Linked DNA regions of Saccharomyces cerevisiae S288C. The protein of the gene in region 4 interacts with the protein of the main gene of each other region in a biochemical or structural test. Each region holds a gene or a part of one and is shown on either strand. Other genes may lie near its edges. The genes, in order: CDC7, PSF2, PSF3 and MCM3.

Region 1 (5,021 bases), on a different chromosome or scaffold from region 4:
GATGAATGATATCTAATTGTTTCTCGAAGAATAACTTATATAACAGTAGTATACCGATGTAAGGAAAACTTCTTGGCTATGTAAAACTTTTTGAAAGTTAGAGGAAGAAAGTATTATACATTCAAGAGAGATGAGCTTTCCAATTTGAAAAATTTTTCAAGAAAAAGAAAAAATTTGAAAAAAAAAAAAGAAAAATATAATAAACATATCATTTTGTACGCAAAAAGTTAAGGAATTATGAAAAGGGACTAAGAGCGTGAATTTTACAGAACGGAGGACAGTAAGATTATATTCTATTTAGCTATCTAGAAACCAATTGAGCTATTTGAGAGAGATACATATTTTGAATTTAATTTGAAAATGCCTATCACCATAAAAAGCCGCTCTAAAGGGTTAAGGGACACTGAAATTGACTTATCCAAAAAGCCTACTTTAGATGATGTTTTGAAAAAAATCTCTGCTAATAACCACAATATCAGCAAGTACAGGATAAGATTAACCTACAAAAAGGAATCTAAACAAGTTCCGGTTATTTCAGAATCGTTTTTTCAAGAAGAGGCTGATGACTCAATGGAATTCTTCATCAAAGATTTGGGTCCCCAAATTTCATGGAGATTAGTCTTCTTTTGTGAGTATTTGGGTCCAGTCTTGGTTCACTCCCTTTTTTATTATCTATCTACCATTCCCACAGTTGTTGATAGATGGCACAGTGCTAGCTCCGACTATAATCCATTTTTAAACAGGGTTGCATATTTTTTAATTTTAGGACATTATGGAAAGAGATTATTTGAAACCTTATTTGTTCACCAATTCTCTTTAGCTACTATGCCAATTTTCAACCTGTTCAAAAATTGTTTCCATTACTGGGTTCTAAGCGGTCTCATTTCATTCGGTTACTTTGGCTACGGCTTCCCCTTTGGGAATGCTAAGTTATTCAAATACTATTCATATTTGAAATTGGATGACTTGAGTACATTAATTGGTCTTTTCGTGCTTTCAGAACTATGGAACTTTTATTGCCACATTAAATTGCGCCTATGGGGTGACTATCAAAAGAAGCATGGTAACGCTAAGATCCGTGTCCCATTGAATCAAGGTATTTTCAATCTTTTTGTTGCTCCCAACTATACTTTTGAAGTTTGGTCTTGGATTTGGTTTACTTTTGTGTTCAAGTTCAATTTATTTGCCGTTTTATTTTTGACTGTTTCAACAGCTCAAATGTACGCATGGGCTCAAAAGAAAAACAAAAAGTATCATACCAGAAGAGCATTCTTGATTCCATTTGTATTTTGATCCTCCTGTTTGCAACATGCCCAAATGCAAGGTAAAGAGATATTAGCTTTCACGAAGTGGCGTAGTAGCACTATTGTTTAAGTATCGTCTGCACCTGTGCCTTTTGGTATTTGGCACTATCTTAAGCGCATGCCACCAATTATGCTAAACCGTTTCACTTTAAGAAATTTTTATTTAAATCTTTCACTATGCAAATATGTAAGTACTTTTAAAATTCTCTTTCCAAAGAAAAGGAAATTATTTCAGACTAGCAGTAATTTATCACTTTGCTATTCAGATATTAGGAGAACATCCTTATCGAGCAAATCTGCCTCGCTTGAGCTGACAACGTCATCTTCGTCAGTACTCTCGCCATCCAGTAAATATGTGTTTTCATTCAATTCATTGAAAAACGGGGTTTTCAGTAAATCTTCTGCTGAACTACGCTTTTGAGGATCCATTTCGAAGCATTGTTCCAAAACCTGGAAGCACCAATAATGATCGGACCAAATTTCTTCTTGATACTTTTTCAACTCATAGGCATCAACAGCATCCATATTTGTCTTGGGGTCAGGTAATTGAGGTTCAATGGACATCCTGTCATGTAATTCTTGTTGTAGAAATCCGAATGTTTCAAAAGCAACACTGTACTCAGGGAACGTACCTATGGTACATTCTTTATTAAGCAAATCATAAACAAATTCCTTCAATCCATTAGAATATCCGTTTGGTTTATCCCAAATGAGCCCACTAGCTTCGAAACCCAATCCATGCAACGCTGCGCATTTTCTTAATTCTTTCCAACCAAAAATAGTACATAACTCTAGCAAAGAATCCGCATCATCTAAACTTTGGAACATTGGAAATCTTCTGCCCAAAAGACTTAAAAGAATAACACCTACGGACCATATATCAATCTTTGTGCTTTGAGCCCCACACTTCATTAACACTTCTGGTGCCCGAAATCCACGAGTCCCTGCTCTATTAGCCCTTTTAATTCTACGCGTTTCATTTTTAGGATAACCCTTTGTCAGATCCACCCCATTTACATTGTTTAAGTGGACGACCTTGCCATTTTGTATGGTGACCATAGGAGGTGTTTGGTTATGTGAGTTAGGAGAATATTGATTACGCATAATGCATGGACAAAATTGTTCGTGATTCCTCATTGAATATCCACCATCATGGTTTGTATTTGCATAATTGTCGTAATCGTTTTGACTAGATATCATGCTTTTATAATCCATTTGAGCCTCGGCTAGACCAAAATCAACAAGCACTCCACGCCCCAATTCCAAATTAAATAAAAAATTTGTCGGTTTGATGTCTCTATGAATAATTCCCTTCGAATGAACAAACTTCAATGCTCTTAGTAGCTCCCAAATGTACTTCTTGATTCCCTTGATTGGTAGATCCCTGTAGAAAGTTCGGAACTCCTCGTGGGGATAGTACGGTAAAACAGCAATGACTTGATCTCGCACCCTTTTTGCATCACATAGAGGGGCTACTCTCGAAGATCCCGTCATTATGTACAGCAGGTTGAGCTCATTATAAATTCTTTGCGGTGACGAGGTAACGTATATTTTCTTCAAAGCAACATAGTTCGAACCATAATTCCAAAAATGTGATGCAAATTTTTTTGTTATTTTCCCAGTGATATCTTTGGCTTTATACACTGACGAAAATGTTCCCTCACCGATCTTGTCTATGAGTTTATATTCATTTTCTATACCCGGTAGATCATGATAGAGCTGTATCATCTCTTCTTTGATTTCTGGAGGTATATCATCGATATTCTTCGTTTTGCTTGTCATTATGATTGTTCTACTTCGAAACTGCCTCTTTCCTAAGAAAATTAGATAATAGCACAATTGTTATTGAAAATTTAAGGTAGTCTGTTACTTCCCGTTACGCCTGCTGAGCGGTTTTTTTTGTTAATGGTTCTTGCATTGATTTTAGGCGGAAATGTGAAGTGCTCTTCTACTCACTAAATTGATGCCGTTCAAGAAGACGCCCCAGGGCAAAGAAGACATAATTTAAAAGCTGACCGGGGACAAATGTTTAAGATTTATGTAGGCCTAAGGCGTTTATCGAGCTAAACGGGAAGTAATTTTACTCTATAAAATGTCATCTACACAAGCATTGCCCCATTAGATTCTTAATTATCTTCAAAACCAGGGCTACACCTTAATTTCCCAAGCTAAAAACATGCTTATATAGAGGTTTAAAAAAAAAGCGTCGTTCGTTGATAAAGTTTACGAACGTATCAGTATGATCGCGTAGGTTTCCACATACTACTTAGACTTCCTACACTGTCATGGTCATTATGTCAACAAAGGTGAGACCAACGCGTCCTGACCTGAATTTTTCTCTCTTTAAAACAGAACGCGTTCTTCATAATCCTCTCCTCAATGAAAGAATTTGGGGGGACAATATCTTGACAGAAACTGGTAAGGCTCTTGATAGTTACCGTACTTGAAGGGACACTGTGAACTGACTAAAAAACTCCGTCATGTCCAATTTATGTGTACTTTTCTTCCAGTTTTTTTTTTTAGCACAATTTTTTGCTGAGGCATCACCGTTGACATTTGAACTGAATAAAGGTCGAAAGGAGTGCTTATATACGCTAACTCCGGAAATTGACTGTACAATCTCATATTATTTTGCAGTACAGCAAGGAGAGAGCAATGACTTTGATGTTAACTACGAAATATTTGCTCCTGATGACAAAAACAAGCCAATAATCGAGAGATCTGGTGAACGTCAAGGTGAATGGTCATTTATAGGCCAACATAAGGGAGAATATGCTATCTGCTTTTATGGTGGTAAAGCACACGACAAGATTGTTGATCTGGACTTCAAGTACAATTGTGAACGCCAAGATGATATTCGAAATGAAAGACGCAAGGCGAGAAAGGCGCAGAGAAACCTGAGAGACTCTAAAACCGATCCCTTGCAAGACAGTGTGGAAAATTCTATAGACACCATAGAAAGGCAGCTCCACGTTTTGGAACGTAATATACAGTACTATAAAAGCAGAAACACCAGAAATCATCACACCGTTTGTTCAACAGAGCATAGAATTGTAATGTTTTCTATTTACGGCATATTATTAATCATCGGAATGAGCTGCGCTCAAATTGCCATACTGGAGTTCATTTTCAGAGAATCGAGAAAGCATAATGTGTAAATAGTTGTGTATTGTTCCTGCATTTTCTATCAACTTGAGAATATATGTTCTTCATATTTAATAGGGGAAAGGAATGACATACCGTATCCAAAATAGCCCTTTTGCTCATGTTAAATCTTATGTAATGACAGAGCTGAAGTGACGTTTCTATTAAAGCACATGTCACGATTTAAAAAATCCTATTTCAAAATGTAGCATTGTTTTCTTCGAGAAATTGACAAAATAATCTTTGTAAGAGTAATTTTTTCTTAGCCATTGGCATATGCACCATGCAATTTCCACCTATTTAATTACACTTGCAGTCAATCAACTCGCTTGGGGATGGTATTCCTCTTGGAGTGTTAAACTATATTTTTAGTGAAAGAAGTGATAAGCAAGTGTGCCAGAAAATACAAGGATATAACACAACTTTGAAAAAGAAAAATTGCCGATTCATCTATTAATGTATCTTGTAAAATTGTTTACAAAGAGTCAATCCGCATTACAGGCAAGATTGAACATGCTATCCCAAAGCCTTAATAGTTATAAGATATCTAAATGTAAAACTGTTAAGCCAGAA
Region 2 (7,115 bases), on a different chromosome or scaffold from region 4:
GAAAGTACACCGGAGGGCAATATCATAGAATGATCTGGATCGTGGAACACAATTTCTACCGAGGCACTCATCACTGAACCACCAGAACCTTGGTGGATAAGCCCTTGCCTTTCTTCCCTCTTAAGATTAGAGTAATCGTCACTAAGAACAAATCTAATCGCAGCGAAGAAATTCGATTTACCTGAACCATTGGAGCCAATAATAACATTCTGATGCGGCGAGAAATTATCAATAATGGTTTCGTTCCTGTAGGTTTTAAAACCCTTAATTATCACCCTTTTGATATACATTGCAGACGTGAACTATTACCGTTACTCCAGCAGGTCGTCTTGTAAAAAAATGGTGAAACTGTTTAAAGATGAGGTTGAAAACTCATCTTTAATTAGTTTAATCATTTCCTAACGCGTCGCGTCTTTTCCTATTCCTGAGACTTTTTTTCTTTAGGTTCCTAATAGTGAAATGTGACAGGTGTACACTTCGATGGCAGGCAAAAATAGAGCCAAAACTGCTTATAAGTTATTCCAAGTGAAAGGAGTTGGTTGCGAGAAGGGCCCAGAAGGTTTCATTCATTGTTGGTTTAGTGTATTACTAAGGCCGATCTTAACGTCTACGAAACGAAGTATGATACTGATCTCGGGATACTGTCTTTTAGTGTATAGCGTTATTTTGCCAGTACTGATATCGGCTTCTAAGTTATGTGATTTGGCTGAGTTACAACGATTGAACAAGAATTTAAAAGTAGACACTGAATCCTTGCCAAAATACCAATGGATCGCTGGGCAGTTGGAACAAAACTGCATGACTGCGGATCCAGCAAGTGAAAATATGTCAGACGTAATTCAACTAGCCAATCAAATATACTACAAAATTGGGCTGATCCAATTATCCAACGATCAACATCTAAGAGCTATTAACACATTTGAAAAAATCGTTTTTAATGAAACTTACAAAGGTTCTTTTGGGAAGCTGGCGGAAAAGAGGCTACAAGAGCTGTATGTCGATTTTGGGATGTGGGACAAGGTGCATCAGAAGGATGATCAGTATGCGAAATATCTGTCCTTGAATGAAACCATCAGAAACAAAATATCATCCAAAGACGTTTCTGTGGAGGAAGATATTTCTGAGCTGCTACGCATAACGCCGTACGATGTTAACGTCCTCTCCACGCACATCGATGTTCTTTTTCACAAACTAGCTGAAGAAATTGACGTTTCGTTAGCTGCTGCTATCATTTTGGATTACGAAACAATCCTCGACAAGCATTTGGCTAGCTTAAGCATAGATACAAGACTTTCGATTCATTATGTCATATCTGTTTTACAGACCTTTGTACTTAACTCAGATGCGTCGTTCAATATAAGAAAATGCCTTTCCATTGATATGGACTATGATAAATGTAAAAAACTAAGCCTGACTATTTCCAAATTGAACAAGGTGAATCCATCAAAAAGACAGATCCTGGATCCAGCAACATATGCATTTGAGAACAAAAAGTTTAGAAGTTGGGATAGAATTATTGAATTTTATTTGAAGGATAAGAAGCCATTTATTACACCAATGAAAATTCTTAACAAAGATACAAACTTTAAAAACAACTACTTCTTTTTAGAGGAAATTATCAAACAATTGATAGAAGACGTTCAACTGTCGAGACCTTTGGCAAAAAATTTATTCGAAGATCCCCCAATAACCGATGGTTTTGTCAAACCAAAATCATACTATCATACCGATTATCTAGTATACATTGATTCCATTCTTTGTCAGGCTTCTAGCATGAGTCCGGACGTCAAGAGAGCTAAACTGGCTGCGCCGTTCTGTAAAAAGAGTTTGAGGCATTCACTAACACTAGAAACATGGAAACACTATCAGGATGCTAAGTCCGAGCAAAAACCTTTACCTGAGACGGTATTGAGTGATGTATGGAATTCCAATCCTCATTTGCTGATGTATATGGTAAACTCAATACTTAATAAAAGTAGGTCTAAACCTCATTCACAGTTCAAAAAGCAATTATATGACCAGATAAACAAATTTTTCCAAGATAACGGCCTCTCAGAGTCGACCAATCCATACGTGATGAAGAACTTCCGATTATTACAGAAACAATTACAAACCTATAAAGAGCATAAACATCGGAATTTCAACCAGCAATATTTCCAACAACAACAACAGCAGCAACAACACCAACGACATCAAGCACCCCCAGCAGCGCCTAACTACGACCCAAAAAAGGACTATTATAAAATTCTTGGAGTATCGCCTAGTGCTAGTTCGAAAGAAATAAGGAAAGCATATTTAAATTTAACCAAAAAATACCACCCAGACAAAATAAAGGCCAACCATAACGACAAACAAGAATCAATTCACGAAACTATGTCACAAATCAATGAAGCGTACGAAACATTAAGTGATGACGATAAAAGGAAGGAATACGATCTTTCCAGATCAAACCCCCGCCGCAACACTTTTCCTCAGGGGCCTAGGCAAAATAACATGTTCAAAAATCCAGGAAGTGGCTTCCCATTCGGAAATGGCTTTAAAATGAATTTTGGGCTTTGATGAAATACATTCTATGCCCATTAACTAGGATACCACAACAAGTACATATATATACATACGCATATCACTGAAAGTTCTAATTATTGCAAAGCCAGCACTTTTTTAAATATTGAATTCTTCTTCATCATTTTCAGTACCAGCGGTAAGAGATGCTGTGTGAATTTCTCGCAGTTTATCCATGATTTCAGTAATGAACGGCCTCAACTCATTGATTTCTAATAGACTTAAATTATCCAATTGTAAATGAGATTCATTCAAATACTTAAGGCCTTTTAACACTTTGATCTGCCTTATTTCCCTTAAGTCTTGTATTTTACCACGTAATTCGTGAATGGGGTCATGAAAATCATCCTTAGCTTTATTGAAAAGTATACGTGCCAAGACAAGCCAGTTCCACGGCAACTCACTAAACCTATCCGGATGAGTTTTCTCATATTGTATTTTTCTATCAAGCTCTTTCGTCGTTAACCACTGTGGTGCTACAATACTGCACTTGGATTGTTGCTTCAGTAATAGAGCGATCCAAAGAACCACTTCTGTAGAACGCATGGCTACCATATTATTTAAAGCTTTGTCATCTGTAGTAATAAGTTGCCAGCGGGTGTGGTTTCCAGTTCCTCTATCATCGCCACGAATTTTTTGGCGTGTTGTTATTCTGGGAAAAATCTTTATTGGCTCGTTTTCCACAATGAACTGTATTTCTTCTGGTGAGAAAGTCTGCTGCAAATGTGCCGGTAGTGACATGCGTCTATGAAACTAGTCTTATTTCAGATCAGCCGTTGATCCTCTCTAAGTATAAAACTCTTTTTTGTTAACCATTTCATAGTTACACTTTAGGCGACTGATTTTTCATTAAATGGAAAATATCACAAGAAATTTCACGCTGGAGAAAAAAAAGGTTAGTCATCACTGATCTTCCCATGGAGTCATAAGCACGTTCGACATAAATTGTGAAAGTTAACACATTTGAAGCTAGGACCGTCAATCTAGGACACTAGTCGGTTACTTTTATCATGTGGAGGAGAATATTCGCGCATGAACTCAAGTATGATCAACCCAATGCATCTTCAAAAAACTTGATCCTTTCAGTTCTGAATACAACCGCTACAAAACGAGAGGCTAAGGATTATCTCTCAAAATATACAAATGATAGTGGGCAGCATAATCATTGTTTGTTTTTTATCAGGGACCTGCATAAAGTCGCACCAGCGATTTTGTCCCAGTTTTCAAGTGTCATAAAGAGACTAGGAATGCTAGGTTTGCGACCTATGTTTGTAATTCCGCCGTCGCCAACTCATGTAAATATACAGGCAGAGTTACTTGACAGTATCGTTACAGAAGCAGATTTAAAGCCACTTCACCTTAAGGAGGGTCTTACTAAATCCCGCACTGGGTTATATCATTCTGTTTTTTCGCAAGAGAGTCGTTTCTTTGATATTGGAAATTCCAATTTTATACCAATTGTGAAACCTTATGTGTATAATGAAGAGACTGCTTCAGAATTCATGACAAAGGATGTTGTAAAATTTATGGATTGCCTGTGCCAAGGGAATATTCCACACATTGACAAATTCTTCATTCTAAATAATGCCGGAGGTATACCTTCGGGAGAGAGAAATGATAACGCTCATGTATTCATCAATCTTTCTCAGGAACTCGAGCATTTGTCCTCGTCATTATCTCACAATATAAGCACTCTAACCAAACGAGAGCCACGCTCCCAAAACCTGTTACACAGAATGGAGGTGTACGTTAAAAAAGATGAGATATCTTCCTTAGAATGTGAATACCATGATCATTTAGAAAACCTGTTATTGATGGACAAAGTTTTATCAAATCTAGCGGCTACAGCAACGGGACTGATTACAACTGTCAAAGCTGCCGCACTATCATCAGATAGGAAAAATCCTTTAGTATATAATTTATTGACAGACCGATCGCTAATTTCTTCTTCTTTACCAAGGTTTAAAAAAAAGGACGGCGAGATAGACTCACCAGCCAACATGTTTGATGATCACGCATGGTATGAATTGCCTTCCCAACAGGTAAATGCAGCTCCTTCTAACTCAGATGCAGTTTTAGTGACAACTGTTCTCAAAAAGGGCGTCCATATCAAAACTTATGACTATAAGACGCTGACTCAATTCAACTCAATTGGGCTTCCAAAGAAGTTTCACGTACCTGAGAAAGGAGCAAAACCCTCGAGCAATAGTCCAAAACTAGATATCAACAAATTTAAATCCATCATCGATCAGAGCTTTAAAAGATCTTTGGATTTGCATGACTACATAAAAAGGATTAATGGAAAAATAGCTACAATTATTGTGATAGGTGATTATGAAGGCATTGCAATTCTTACCTATGAAGGCTCGGAGGAAAATTCCTTTGTTTATCTCGATAAGTTCGCCGTTCTACCACACTTGAAAGGCTCGCTGGGTATATCTGATATAATCTTCAATTTGATGTTCAAAAAATTTCCTAATGAGATACTTTGGAGAAGCAGAAAAGACAATGTGGTGAACAAGTGGTATTTTCAACGTAGCGTTGCTGTGCTAGATTTGTCGATTGACTTAGACCCCGAACACTGTGATGAAAAGCAAAGCCAATTTAAACTATTTTACTACGGTAACCCTCAATACGCTAAGAGGGCACTACGTGACAAGAAACGTTTAAGAGAATTCATGAGGTCTGTCAGGGACATCAAGCCAAGTTGGGAAAATGAAAAAAATATTTCATGAAACAAAGACGCATTCTCCTCCTCCTTAACTTTCAAGTTTTCATTTTCAGTTTTTAAGGTATCTATATAAATATATATATCTTACTATGCAAAGTTGTTGATATTTCACTTTACCCTACCAAATGGAGTTAATTACTCCAAAGTGATCCCGAACGAAGTTCCACTCTTGATCCAATGTCTCCTTTCTATATCTTCTTCTAATCATCGGAACGTTGTGCTTTATCGAGGTATCTTTCGCTGTATCGTACCAATTATCTATCCCACCCACGTTCTCCTCAAAGTAAGGCGCCTTTTTAACTCCAACGCCAATCCAATGAGCCTTGTACCAACCTTCATAGCCACTAGATAGCACACTTGTTCTCGACAACTCGCACAAATCTGTTGGGTTCAGCAAGTAAATACTTGCTGCTACACTGTATTCTTCAATGAGAGGTTCTAGCGTGTATGAACTATTGTAAAGAATCGATTTTGATGATAAAGAAATTTTTAGTCCCATCTTAAACATTTTCATGAAAGGATTTGTCTCATATGATCTTTGTTCGCCCACAGTGATATCTCTAGAAGGATTGATTTTGGCTGTTTCCTGGTCTTTCAAATAATCATGTTCTAGAAGCACGTTTTTATTCTTCAAAAAGGTCGATTTTTGCGAATTCAGTAATGAAACAGATGATAATGGCGCAGCTAAAATGGGTATTTGAAAGAGATAAAATAAATATTGAATCATTGTTGCAGTATCCCAAAGCGGTTCTACCTGTAGCAGACCACCATTACAAAGCAGTAAGTTGCACACTAACGATTCAACTTGATCTGTAAAATATAAATCCACTCCAAATTGGGAAGTTCTGCTGGATAGTGGAGAACAATAATTTCTTAGGGTGATTGTATTTTGAAGATTTTGTGACCGCAGAAAATTAACTTTCGCTAAACTTTTATAAATATAATACATGTAATGCGCAACAGTTGGATTGTCACCCTGTGCTGTCCAAAATTTTGGCTTACAATTCATATCAGTAAATTCTTTCCAGTAATATTCATCCGACTCTTTAATGACCAGATCCATAGAACACACATTTGATAAAAAAAACTGCAGACCAATGATATCAGTATTTACAGATGAATCTATTGGTAACTGCTCCTTTTCCAGAGTGAATAAAGGATTGAAGATAAGATCCAAAAACTCCTGGAAATTTGACACGACATTTTCCTTGAATAGTTTGGGAAAAATCCTGGCAATTTGTATATTCCAGCGGATATTATACGATACTAGCTTCCATCGTAGCAACCATTGAGAAAATTTCTTGTACCAGTCTTCACCACTGGAATAGAATTGAAAATTAACTGATACTTGGGCCAATTGGTACTTTGATTTTTCGAGGATATGAATAACGTATTTTATGAAAATTTCTGCTAGGTACTCACCTTCAATGAAATTATCAAACTCCAGAAACACTTTGGCTAATAGGTAAAACCTCATTTCTTTGCCGACCAACTTTGCTACTTTGTTAGGAGTTAGATGGTAATCTATTAGGTAAATATTTCTATACCAATCCAAGAATTCATCATCAATCAATTTCAACCCAATCGCAATGGGTTGGTCATTAGAAGAACAACCAAACTGAAAAATGTCTCTCAAACTGAGTTTCCTTGACGTTTCCGGGTCTTGATAAACTATCCTTTCAGGTTCTAAATTTATTTTCTCCCATATATATTCACTCAATTGACGTTGAGAAATACAACCACTTAAAGACAAGTCTCGATCTACCTTACGAGAATTATAAAAATCTCTGTAGGGAACATTTTTATTAGCTAAAATTTCTTT
Region 3 (3,943 bases), on a different chromosome or scaffold from region 4:
GAAACTACAAGATGAGGCACAAAAGTTAATCCAGGAGCGAGAAGCCATGGCCATAAGTGAACATAATGTTAAAGATGATTCAGATCTGTCTGATAAAGACAATGAATATGACGAAGAAAAGCCAAGACAAAAAAGAAAGAGGTCAACAAAAACTAAAAATAGCGGTGAATCTAAGAGAAGGAAAGCTGCTAAAAAAACTCTTTCCGACAGCGACGAGGATGACGATGATGTGGTGAAAAAGCCTTCTCACAATAAGGGCAAAAAATCTCAACTATCGAATGAATTTATTGAAGATAGTGATGAGGAAGAAGCTCAAATGAGCGGTTCGGAACAAAATAAAAACGATGACAACGACGAAAACAATGATAATGATGATAACGACGGATTGTTCTAAGAAGAGGCGAGGGTTAGAATCAAGACTTTTAAAGAAACTTAATATTATACTGTTGCCTTTTTTTTATAGTTATTTTATATAGTGTATTTCTAAAGAAAAAGATGTGTTATTTTTTAAACATCCACCTTTTCGTGTCCTTATAAGATTCATGAGACTTTTTATATATCTCCTTCTCCATTTCTTCTAGTTTCAGTAAAAATGTGCTAGTTGCTATATTAGTGTTCGCTGAATTTTTTCCGGTCGAGTCTGCATTGAGATCAATCGATAAACTACTAGCATGATGATTAAGTTCTTGGGCACGTTGCAAAAGTAGCTCACTAACGACATTGGCCAGTTCTTTTTCGCTAAACAACATTATCCATTTTATGGCTAGACTGAAGAAATGCGAATTTATGGAATGCAAGTCCAGAGCCACCGGATCGGTCTTTATAGCGTTCATAACTTTCGTAGAAAACATATCTGGTGGCAGGAGTTCCACAAAAGGTACAGGTTCTTCATCTACCAAGGCTTCGTCACCACCCACAATTGCAAGGATTCTTGCTAACCATAGTGGCAGGCTTAGTTTAGTGTTTTTCGTTATGGGTCGTCCTGGGTTGTTTTCCAAATAACCAAGACCAGGAATATCATATTGAAATTTACAAGGAAACTCTGTCCCATCTGCTAGGACATCATCAATGTCATAGTAACCCATCCTTTCTATGCTTGCCCTTCTATTGTAAAAATATAATACCAAGAACAAAGTTGGCATCAATTCCATTGCGATTTTCACTACGCGTCGGCATTTATCTCGGAGAACCCGAAGCGATGGGTATATCATTTATAGATATAAAAGGGAAGTGACTCCAACAACTGAAAAACCGTTGTCTCCATCTACTACTTCAAAGACTTCATCAAGTAATAGTATAATCAATATGGTCTGTGATACACTGGTATATCATCCCTCCGTGACGAGATTCGTCAAATTTCTAGATGGCTCAGCTGGCAGAGAAAAGGTTCTCAGATTACTGCAGTATTTAGCAAGATTTTTAGCAGTACAGAACTCATCTCTCTTGGCCAGGCAATTACAAGCTCAATTTACCACAGTCAGAAAATTTCTGAGGTTTCTGAAGCCTTTAAACCACTTGCAGGCAGCTGCTAAATTCTACGATAACAAGTTGGCCAGCGACAACGTCGTTAGAGTCTGCAATGTTTTGAAAAACATCTTCTTTGCTGCATATTTGTCGTTAGATCAAGTCAATCTTTTGAGAATTTTGAAAGTGATTCCTGTAACCGTTCTTACCGGTAAGAAAATACCTCGCTGGTCCAATTGGTGTTGGCTGTTCGGCCTCCTAAGTGGTCTGGCTATGGATCTTCGTAAGATCCAAACATCTCATGCCCAGATTGCTGCGTTTGTCAAGGCAAAATCACAAAGCCAAGGCGATGAGCATGAGGATCACAAGAAGGTACTAGGGAAGGCATACCAAGACAGGTACACCGCGTTAAGAAGACTATTCTGGGATGCTGCAGATTCGTTCATCGTCCTCAACAACCTAGGGTACTTGTCTAGCAACGAAGAGTATGTTGCGCTATCCGGTGTTGTCACATCTATCCTTGGTATGCAAGACATGTGGAAAGCTACATAGCTTTCTTTTCATCTTTTTTTTTTATTTGGCTATTCTCCGCTTATGTTTGATTCGACCCTTCTTTATAATTTATTTCTTATGTATATGACCCAATGTTCCATGTCCATACCTGTATAAGATTCTGAGTGACAATAGTTCTTGTTATCCGCACCATTAATAACTAACTAACTATCTTTAAAGTAAAACTGGGATCGCTATAACTGCTTAGTTCTGTTACCCGCTCGTGATACCTGACGACCATTAATCATGAAGAAGTGTTAAGATGATCGACCAGCAGAGATAAAAGAATGAGAAAAGTAGCCTTCAAGAGGATTAGGAAGGAATAGTTACGGTTAATTTGCGCCTATATATTTCAGGGATGAGTGCCAATAGCCCGACAGGAAACGATCCCCATGTATTTGGTATTCCTGTGAACGCAACACCATCCAATATGGGTTCGCCAGGCAGTCCAGTTAATGTACCACCTCCTATGAACCCAGCGGTAGCAAATGTAAATCATCCTGTTATGAGGACAAACAGTAATAGTAATGCCAATGAAGGTACTAGGACTTTAACCAGGGAGCAAATACAGCAATTGCAGCAAAGACAACGATTATTACTACAGCAAAGACTACTCGAACAACAGAGAAAACAGCAAGCACTCCAAAACTATGAGGCTCAGTTTTATCAAATGCTTATGACCTTAAACAAAAGACCTAAAAGACTTTACAATTTTGTGGAAGATGCAGACTCAATTTTGAAAAAATATGAGCAATATTTACACAGTTTTGAATTTCATATTTATGAGAATAATTATAAGATTTGCGCTCCTGCAAATAGCAGGTTACAACAGCAGCAAAAGCAACCCGAGCTGACTAGTGACGGTTTAATATTAACCAAAAATAACGAAACTTTGAAAGAATTTTTAGAGTACGTCGCAAGAGGAAGGATTCCTGATGCTATTATGGAAGTCTTAAGGGACTGTAATATCCAATTTTACGAAGGAAATCTTATTTTACAGGTTTATGACCATACTAATACAGTTGATGTCACCCCCAAAGAGAACAAGCCTAATTTGAACAGCTCTTCTTCCCCTTCAAATAATAATAGCACACAGGACAATTCCAAGATTCAACAACCATCCGAACCTAATAGTGGTGTGGCAAATACAGGCGCAAACACAGCAAATAAGAAGGCATCCTTCAAACGACCTAGAGTATATCGAACATTGTTGAAGCCTAATGATTTGACGACGTATTATGACATGATGTCTTATGCAGATAATGCCAGGTTTTCTGATAGCATTTATCAACAGTTTGAATCTGAAATTTTAACACTTACCAAGAGGAACTTGTCACTAAGTGTGCCATTAAATCCATATGAGCACCGAGACATGTTGGAGGAAACAGCTTTTTCAGAACCTCATTGGGATAGTGAAAAAAAATCCTTCATTCACGAACATCGTGCTGAGTCTACGAGAGAAGGCACGAAGGGCGTTGTAGGGCATATCGAAGAACGCGATGAATTTCCGCAACATAGTTCAAATTATGAACAGTTGATGTTGATCATGAATGAACGCACAACAACGATAACCAACTCCACGTTTGCTGTTTCGTTAACCAAGAATGCGATGGAGATTGCTAGCTCCAGTTCCAACGGGGTACGTGGAGCTTCGTCCTCAACTTCGAATTCCGCATCAAATACAAGGAATAACAGTTTGGCTAATGGCAATCAAGTAGCTTTGGCAGCGGCAGCGGCTGCGGCTGCAGTGGGATCTACCATGGGTAACGATAATAATCAATTTAGCAGGCTGAAATTTATTGAACAATGGAGAATAAATAAAGAAAAAAGAAAACAGCAGGCTTTAAGTGCAAACATCAATCCAACCCCCTTCAACGCTAGAATATCGATGACAGCACCATTGACTCCACAGCAACAGCTACTTCAA
Region 4 (9,406 bases):
TTCAACATCATCACGGTTTAGATCATCAATTTTAGACTGAGACATTTTTGGCAACGACTTAGAAGCCAAAGCCAAAACTCTTGAACCAGAGCGTGTAAAGGATTTATAGATTTCGTCATAATTCTTGGGAATGTCAGAAAGCCTTTCACGAATCGTTTCAGGTGCACCTTTGACAGCAGCAAACAAGGCATCGTTGTGAGAAGCAATAGAAGCAGACCTTTTTAAAGCAGAAGAAAATTGAAATCTACGGATAATATCCAATTTTCCGGTGCCCTCTCTATAGTTACTGTTTTTTCTTTCGACAGCCCAACCAACAGCCTTTAAGGTCGCCTTTTCCATTGGGTCACCAACAATATCACCATCTTCCAATTTAACTAAAGCGTGAGCAGCACCAATGACAAGAATTGTACTTTCTGGTGCTTCGGCAGCGCTGTACAAGTGACGAATGTTTTCGGAGTCCGCAGAGATACCAGCTAGACCTTCAAACACAAGATCTTCGCCGGTCAAAGTACCAGTTTTATCGAAACAACAAACATCAATTCTACCAGCAAATGGAATTCTAAATGGTTCAGTACAATAGACATAGAACTTGGCAAGGGCGGCCAGAGAACTGTTGACAGCCATGGTCAATTCCATTGGTAACTCAGGAGGAACAACAGATGTAATAATTAATATACAGTCCAAGATCAATTTGGATTGAATTCTACCCATTTTTGTACCCTCAACCCAAACGTACCAGGATGCAATAACAGCGAAAATCAACAAGAAAAGAATGAACATCAACGCTTCCTTATTATCGACGGAAACACGTTCAGCGGAGTAAATCATAACTCGAACTAAAGAACCCTGAGATGTTTCAAAGCCAGTTTTGGTGACGATGGCTAAGGCACCTCCATCAGGTGGAGGAGGGATATCCGATTTATGTTCAGGAGGTGTTACTTGTAATGCCTTTGTACCACCATGTAACACAGCAATCTTGTCAACACCGTCCAGTTGTAAATTATCTTCACTAGGACGTAATTTAATGGATTCCTTTAACAAGGGAGTAGATTCACCTGAAAGCATTGCTTCATTAACAATAGCGGAGCCATCGAGCAAGATCAAATCGCAAGGAATTGCGCTCTCCTCGGCGGTTCTTGTTATAGACACTAAATCCATAGGTAACAATTCATTGGTTTGCAATGCTACCCATTTTTTGTTTCTAAACACGTTAATGGTATAAGGTTTGATACCCATAGTTCTAAATTCCTTCAAGGCAGTTAATCTTTGAAATACTGCAGCTGCCTCCATGGAGATAATCATGAATAAGTTAAACAAAGAATAATACCAGAACTCATCCAATAGCCATAAGGCAACACAGAAAACTTGGAAAACAAACAATGGCGCAACAGCGTGCTCTTTGAATAATTCCATAAATGTTGGAATAGGAATATCAAAACTATTCTCACCATATAGTCTCTTCAAATGAGTTAGGTCACCGGAATGGCCCTTACATTTTTGGAAATCACCGATCTTTGGGGATTCATCAACAAGGAACTTTGGTGAAGAAAATACCTGCTCATTTTCATGCCACAAGAATCTTTTCTTTTGAAATTGGAAAAAAGTCTGCAAAGAGCCCGCTTCAGTTACTCTCTGAATTTCAACGATACCATCAGAACCATTATTTGGAGTGGTGTAGATGAGAATGTGAGTAGCTTCATTGACATTTTTAGTAGTACTGTAGTTGAATTTCGCCTTGATCTTGACATTCCAAGCAGGCATTAACATGACTAGGATGTTCAAGGATACCAATGTCCCCAAGTAGACAAAAGTCCACTCAGGTCCTTTGATGTAACGATCATATTGCTGGAAATATAGTTGGGCAAAGGTAGCGTATAACGGGAAAAACGGTAATACGTACGGCTTTGCTATTAATGACTTTGGTACCAGCAATGTCGAGTCCCTAACAATAGGACTGCTCACAAATGATTTCTTTGTCATTTACCGATTCCTATGTTTCTGTAGGTCTGATATGTCAACTATGTCTAGAGCTAAAAGCTTGCTAAAGCTTCATGTTATATGGTGGAAGAGACATTGCCACTTGGCTTTATTCAGAACACGCGAAGAGGAAGAGAAACGCGTAACGTATGGCGTGACAAGAAGCCACGAATGAGCAAGTAAGATAAGCCAAAGTATCACACATATTCATTAACAGAAGATATAGTGCCCCATAACTGCTTACAACACATTCAAACAAAAGAAGGAAATAAGCGTTTTAATACATAATTCTTTAATACACGAATAACAATTAATGAACTAAATAATCTGGAAATGAACTGAAAATTATGAATGACAAAAAGAAAAAAAGCCAAGAATGGAAGTCTTTTAGTAAACATTCCTGTGACATCAGACTCTCCAAACTTTATCGTCAGCAACCATTAAGTTATTTCTGTCCGACATGATCTTCAAACCTGCTAAATATTCTTGAGCGGAGAATTTTTCCTCCTCCGGTAGTTCTTCGTTGATTCTTTCGAACAAAGAGGCCACAGGATAGGATTCTTCTTCAAATATTTCTGTTTGCATCAGACGCGCAATAATACCTGAGATTAAAGACAATCTACCAGTAGAAATGGTACCAGGCTCCACATTGTCAAAAGAAATAACTGACTGTTGTTGCTCATCATCCTGACCTGCAGAAGATACGTTAGGTAATCTTGGAGTACCGACCTCGGTAAGAGGTCCCGACGAACCTTCCTCAGGTGCGTGAAGATGTTCTCTACGTCTTGGAGACACTCTCAACCCCAGTTGAAGCCTTCTTTGTAATTCAGCTTCCTCATCCGCAGGAAGCGGTGACATTATATCGTTATCGTCTTCACCAGCGTTCTGTTCGTCATCTTGAAAACGTAATATTCTGCGTGCTGACGATGGCGTGGCATTAACGGAAGATGCCGTTGACCTTCTTGGAGTAGATTTGATTGGGGATCCAGAGTTGCTTGCTGGTTGTCTGACTCTTTGTCTTTTTTTCGGTGATTTCTGTGGAGACCTCTTCGACAAAGCTTCTTCGTATTCACTTTCCTCTTCATCGATATCATTGCCGATATCCTCACCCAATAGTGCAAACCTTAGTAGATTGGCAGCCACTTTAGCATCCACCTTGTTGACTGTTTTGGATAACCTGACTTTGGCGTGAGCTGTGGCTAATCTGATCAAAGTCTCCAAAGTTCTTGCAGTAATGGGCGATTTTTTGGTATTATCATCGTTTCTTAAATCAGTATAATTTTTCACAATAACATTGATGGCTTCTTGTGTTAACTGTGGAATAACCCTTTCCTTGGCATATTGAACGTACTTTCTTAAGAATGGGATGGTGACTAGCTTTGGAATTTCTGTACCGTTATAGTTACCTTTGTTTTTTGCTAACTTAGCACCTGCTTGTAATAAGGGGTTGAACTTTTCGAAGACATGGTCTTCATCATCTTCTCCTTCATTTTCTACACCAGCCCCGGAGTTGGAATGCTCTTCAGGATTTATATCTGCATCCTCCCCAACGGCTAATGATAAATTCAAACGCTCTCTCACAGGTTCACCCTCTAAATAACCTGGAGGCAAATATCTGTGTGTTCTTAAGACATGCTCACTAATGGATCTATCTCTGATTTCATTGATATCGTCTGTCACAACAAATAGTAAATCAAAACGAGACAACAGCGAGTCCGGTAGGGCAATGTTTTGGTGTGGATCTCTATTGACATCGTACTGCCCAAAAACGGGATTTGCGGCAGCAATAACACTACAACGAGCATTTAATGTTGTGTGAATACCTGCTTTGGCAATCGTCACCGTTTGTTGTTCCATTACTTCATGAATGGCGACTCTATCCACATCTGTCATCTTATCAAATTCATCAATACATACAACCCCGCGGTCAGCAAGAACCATGGCACCAGCCTCTAGTCTTCTTTCACCTGTTTCCCTATCAGTAGTGACCGCTGCGGTCAAACCGACACCGGAAGAACCTCTACCAGTAGTAGCAATTGCCAGTGATGCTGTATTCAACACAAACCTTAGCAATTGGGACTTGGCAGTGGATGGATCACCCACCATTAGGATATTGATGTCACCTCTTAAATGCGAGCCATTTTCTAAATTTTTCTCCACACCTCCCATGAGCATCAATAAAATGGCTTTCTTTATATGGTCATGTCCATAAATAGAAGGCGCTAAAGATTGAGACAAGATATCGAAAATGTCCTTTTTTTTGGATAGTTTATTGATATTTCTTATATCGAAATCTGTCAACATTTGTCTCGCAGCGACACCCGTGGATCTGGCGTGGAGAGGATACACCGTATTACCTAGGATCAGAGTTTTGAACCCGATCAATGTATTAGAGTTGGACTGGTTCATGCCACCAGCACCAAGCGACTTGAATACCCCGACAACGTTAACTCTGTCACCTGGCTTGGTCTTGTCCACAAGGTCGTCATCGAGAATGACGTCAATGGACCTGGGAAGTTGGCCAGCGGGGGCCATTTCGGGCATTTCTTGCACAGTGATACGCTGATGGTCTATGAACGTACTATACCCATATTCGGTGGTTAGTTTGTTACCTTCAGTGTCCTCCGTTGGATAGATGGCAGGCGTTGGGATGCGGGTGGTGAGAGTTGTAGTAGCATCTGTATAATCTCTGTAATGGAATCTACCAGTCTTTGCCGCGTAGTGGACAGATCTGATAAGCTTTGGCCTGACCAACGAAGTCTTAGTTACGATACCCTCAACAGAGACCAGTTTGTTTAAATGTTGTGCCGTTAGAGTACGAGGAGACAATGCGTGTGCACCAAATGAGCCTTTGAACGAAAGCTTCCAAGGATGGCGAGACGATACTGCAGAGGCATTGGGATGTGGAACATCGTCCATGGAATCTGCTAGGTCAGTAAGCGCCTTTTCGGCAGGCGGGATGAAGTATGCTGGTTCGACTAAAATGCCCGACCAGAACGACCTGTCGAATTCTCTCAAGTCATCAAGCGAGATGATAATCCTGTGAGGGAGTATATTCAATGAGGTGGACGATGCTGCTTTCTTTTCCTTTTCAAGATCATCACCGTCGTCATCACCTAGCAAATCTCGTTCGTCTGCGTCATCTTGATCATCGTTGTAGTTGGCCGCGTTATTGCTGTTGTAAACTTGTATGGACCTTACAGAGTCTCTGTATGAGGTGAAAGTATCTAAAAACTCTTGAAATCTGCGCACTCTGTCACCAAACACAGCGTCTGGAGCGAAAAAAGTAGTAGCGTCTCCATCAAATCCCGTTGAGCCTTCCATAATTGACGTTTGTATCTTTTTGGTGCGCTTATAGTGGAGTTCAATACGAGCAGTAGGATGAAAATGCTTCAAGGAAAAGAGCGTAGGCCTTTTCAACTTGAAAGAAGATTAAGAACCTATCTTTCGAGTTTTGACCAAATTTTTCTTTTTTTTCCTAAAACACGAGTTTTTACCCATTTAGGAAAAGTAATTGTTTCTTCTACCGCCTCGATCTGACGAACAAGGGAAATTGAAAAAAAAGAGAAAAATAACGACAACTGCAGGACTCGAACCTGCGCGGGCAAAGCCCAAAAGATTTCTAATCTTTCGCCTTAACCACTCGGCCAAGTTGCCATAACTCATTGAAAATTCTGTTTCCCACATAGGTCAAAACTAATATTTCCCTTGGCCTGCTCTTCAACCTCCCCCGTTCTGAGAGTTCCCTTTTTTTTTTTTTTTTTTTTTTTTTGAGGGGGAAGCGCCGGATTTGCCACCGACCGGCTGCTTGCAGCCGGTAGATATGCGCACATGAAAATCATCCTCCCCAATGAATTACACTGCCTGCATAAGGAAAAAGAAAAGTGTGAAATACGAATAAAAACAAAGTATATTATTGCTATATAGATGATAAATAACAAAATAAATAGAAAATAAAAAAAAGGATTTATTTGTGTATGCTTTAGGAGAACGAAAAAAAAATTGCAAAGAAAAAAACCCGGTTCAGCGAAGAGTACATGATGTGATGGAAGGGGCGTCGGAGTTTTTTTTTCTTTTTTCATTTATATCCCATGCCATGATGTTAACCGGTTTAATCGGTTCTAGCAGCTTCCTTGAAGGAGATGGCGGCTTCTTCACCCATAGCGGAGATGATGGTAACCATCAAGTCCTTACCTTCATCAAAAGCAGTTTGCAAACTGTCACCCAATTCACCTTCTGGAGCCTTGACATCATCCTTAGTGTCACCGTCCATGTTCATCAAAGACAAGAAACCGTCATCAATGTCCAACAATTGGTATTCGTTTCTCTTGACAACTGGAACTTCCATGTTGTGAGTAGATGGAGACAAATCTTCCAACTTCTTACCAGTGAAGATATCAATGGCAACCAAATGGACTTTAGCGTGACCGTGCTTACCAGTCTTAGAAGTGGACATGTCGACAATCTTACATGGTCTACTCTTGATGACAACGAAACCGTTCTTTCTCAAGGCAGAACATTGCATTGGGTAGGTGGCGGAGGAACCAGCGTCAGCAGTTTCAAAGGTATGTTCTTCGTCAGACATTGTATATATGAGTTGGTATTTGTGTGTGTTTGGGAGTCTATGAGTAATTGGCTACAGAAGTAGAATCGTTAGAAAGAAGGAAAGGAAGCAATTGATAGAAGGAGAGGAATTTAGGAAATGAGGGATTCCAATGTCAAGATATGGCAAAAACCTTGTGCATTATATAATCGTGGAACACGACGATCAACGCGGCCAAAAGCCGATCGACGACGACGACGAAAAAAATTTTTATTACCACTGTTCCTTCACCTTCGAAACTTTTTTTCGGGCGACGGCGTTTCTTTTAGCTCCTGCGGTATGTGCGGTGCGGGAGGTCCCTTGTCGCCTCACACGGACCCGATATAACGCTACGGAATACATCGAGGGGTATGGGTGGATGATATCACTGCAGCAAGGTCTGGGTGTTGCAGAATTTTACCGGCCTTGGCCCCTCAGCGTCCAGCTACAGCGTTATACTACTCCAAGTCGCCGTTCCCGTTTTGCTGTTCTCACCCCTCAGAGAAAATGCCACCAGAACGAAGCCAATGGTCAGGACTTATCGTTACTTATACTGTTGAGCCGGATATATCCGCTGTGCTCTAATACCAGCCAAACGAGAAGGGTAGCGGCAAGAAAGGGTAAACTTTCATGATGAAGTTAGCTAGTTCCTTTTACGATTGCTACTATCTCGTTCAACTTGGCCTGCGCTGTTGATGAAAATAGCAGTGACTGCAGAGAATAGAAATGAACCGGGCTCATCTGGTCTAGTTGCCTTCTTTTTTTTATTTTTTTTCATTTTCCTTTTCTTTTCTTTTCTTTTCTTGTCTCACTATGTTGGTTTAATCAATTCGTAATCCCTTTACCAACGCATTGTGTTCAATTTTCCTCTTGTGTGGGGTCGCCCGCCTTGTCTCATCGTGAAAAAATTGCGTAAGATGAAATCATGAAAACATGAAATAAAAAAAATAAATAAAAATAACTACACGATTCAAAAACGCCAAGATCTGTTAGTAGAGACAGCAAGCATTGCAAAACCATTCATCACTCAGTTGCTAGGCGAGTGTTGGTGCGATTTACCCTCATCATCTTTTTTTCGCTCCATTAAACAGTTCCTTGTGGCTTTCATGCAAAGTGTACGTCCATAATGAAGTATAATAACAGAAAACTCTCGTTCAACCCTACCACAGTAAGTATCGCTGGAACGTTGCTTACGGTGTTCTTTCTCACAAGACTCGTGCTTTCGTTCTTCTCGATATCGCTATTCCAGCTGGTAACTTTCCAAGGAATCTTCAAGCCCTATGTTCCAGATTTTAAAAATACTCCCAGCGTAGAGTTCTACGACCTACGAAATTACCAAGGCAACAAAGATGGTTGGCAACAGGGTGACCGCATCTTGTTTTGCGTGCCACTGAGAGATGCTTCTGAGCATCTTCCCATGTTTTTTAACCATCTGAATACCATGACATATCCGCACAACCTGATTGATCTGTCGTTTTTGGTGAGTGACTCTTCGGATAACACCATGGGCGTGTTACTATCCAATCTACAGATGGCGCAATCGCAACAAGACAAGTCCAAAAGGTTTGGTAACATCGAAATCTATGAGAAGGACTTCGGCCAAATCATTGGTCAGTCCTTTTCTGATCGTCACGGGTTTGGCGCCCAGGGCCCCAGAAGAAAGCTGATGGCCAGGGCTCGTAATTGGCTTGGGTCCGTGGCCCTGAAACCATACCACTCCTGGGTTTACTGGAGAGACGTGGATGTCGAAACCATCCCCACTACCATCATGGAGGATCTAATGCATCACGACAAGGACGTCATTGTCCCCAACGTCTGGAGACCTTTACCAGACTGGCTGGGAAACATTCAACCCTACGATTTAAATTCATGGAAGGAATCAGAAGGGGGTCTTCAATTGGCGGATTCCCTAGACGAAGATGCTGTCATTGTGGAAGGGTACCCAGAGTACGCCACTTGGAGACCTCACCTGGCATACATGAGAGACCCAAACGGTAATCCAGAAGACGAAATGGAATTGGACGGTATTGGAGGGGTCTCGATTCTCGCGAAAGCTAAAGTATTCAGAACAGGCTCACACTTTCCTGCATTCTCCTTTGAAAAGCACGCAGAGACAGAAGCATTCGGTAGGCTCTCCCGCAGGATGAATTACAATGTCATCGGCTTGCCCCATTATGTCATCTGGCACATCTACGAACCTTCCAGCGACGACTTAAAGCACATGGCTTGGATGGCTGAAGAGGAGAAGCGGAAACTAGAAGAAGAGAGAATTCGCGAATTTTACAACAAGATCTGGGAGATTGGATTTGAAGATGTCAGAGACCAATGGAACGAAGAAAGAGATTCAATCTTAAAAAACATTGACTCCACTTTGAACAATAAAGTCACTGTAGACTGGTCTGAAGAGGGAGATGGCTCGGAGCTGGTGGACTCAAAGGGTGACTTTGTCTCACCAAACAACCAACAACAACAACAACAGCAACAACAACAACAACAGCAGCAGCAGCAACAGCAACAGCAACAACAGCTCGACGGCAACCCGCAGGGGAAACCTCTTGATGACAACGACAAGAACAAGAAAAAACATCCTAAAGAAGTTCCATTAGACTTCGACCCTGATAGAAACTAGGCTCGGTTTTTTAGTGACCTACATATGAAGTACGAATTCATATAGTTGTACATATATACCGATAATAATATCAAACCTCTATTCTTTGGTCTTTAACTTTTCTTTGAGTGAATTACAATACCATTGTTATATCAATCACTATACACGGCTCGGTGGCGAAATTGAAATTTTTTTATTTTCTTCTCTTTCATTATGGCTAGGCAAGAAATAGCGACAGC

The links.
Region 1: of the proteins of MCM3 (region 4) and CDC7, one has a biochemical effect on the other in vitro, tested with the Saccharomyces cerevisiae proteins (2 studies listed by BioGRID).
Region 2: the proteins of MCM3 (region 4) and PSF2 form a complex in vitro, tested with the Saccharomyces cerevisiae proteins (4 studies listed by BioGRID).
Region 3: the proteins of MCM3 (region 4) and PSF3 form a complex in vitro, tested with the Saccharomyces cerevisiae proteins (3 studies listed by BioGRID).

What each region holds. Positions count from the first base shown.
Region 1 is NC_001136.10:422,274-427,294, reverse strand, and holds CDC7 (serine/threonine protein kinase CDC7), read right to left. Parts: upstream 3,087-5,021; coding exon 1,563-3,086; downstream 1-1,562. Other genes in the region: trans-2-enoyl-CoA reductase (NADPH) TSC13, read left to right, coding at 361-1,293; ERP3 (Erp3p), read left to right, coding at 3,785-4,462. UniProt on the Saccharomyces cerevisiae protein: Serine/threonine-protein kinase. Needed for the initiation of DNA synthesis during mitosis as well as for synaptonemal complex formation and commitment to recombination during meiosis. Required for HTA1-HTB1 locus transcription repression.
Region 2 is NC_001142.9:302,560-309,674, forward strand, and holds PSF2 (DNA replication protein PSF2), read right to left. Parts: upstream 3,304-7,115; coding exon 2,662-3,303; downstream 1-2,661. Other genes in the region: cohesin subunit SMC3, read right to left, coding at 1-290; JEM1 (Jem1p), read left to right, coding at 622-2,559; ARG2 (acetyl-CoA:L-glutamate N-acetyltransferase), read left to right, coding at 3,573-5,297; YJL070C (metallo-dependent hydrolase superfamily protein), read right to left, coding at 5,412-7,115. UniProt on the Saccharomyces cerevisiae protein: Functions as part of the GINS complex which plays an essential role in the initiation of DNA replication by binding to DNA replication origins and facilitating the assembly of the DNA replication machinery.
Region 3 is NC_001147.6:46,006-49,948, reverse strand, and holds PSF3 (DNA replication protein PSF3), read right to left. Parts: upstream 1,086-3,943; coding exon 501-1,085; downstream 1-500. Other genes in the region: CTR9 (Ctr9p), read left to right, coding at 1-394; PEX11 (Pex11p), read left to right, coding at 1,306-2,016; SPT20 (Spt20p), read left to right, coding at 2,375-3,943. UniProt on the Saccharomyces cerevisiae protein: Functions as part of the GINS complex which plays an essential role in the initiation of DNA replication by binding to DNA replication origins and facilitating the assembly of the DNA replication machinery.
Region 4 is NC_001137.3:82,832-92,237, reverse strand, and holds MCM3 (MCM DNA helicase complex subunit MCM3), read right to left. Parts: upstream 5,302-9,406; coding exon 2,386-5,301; downstream 1-2,385. Other genes in the region: ion-transporting P-type ATPase SPF1, read right to left, coding at 1-1,980; MTC7 (Mtc7p), read right to left, coding at 5,640-6,059; HYP2 (translation elongation factor eIF-5A), read right to left, coding at 6,089-6,562; UTR5 (Utr5p), read left to right, coding at 6,693-7,193; ANP1 (Anp1p), read left to right, coding at 7,686-9,188. UniProt on the Saccharomyces cerevisiae protein: Acts as a component of the MCM2-7 complex (MCM complex) which is the putative replicative helicase essential for 'once per cell cycle' DNA replication initiation and elongation in eukaryotic cells.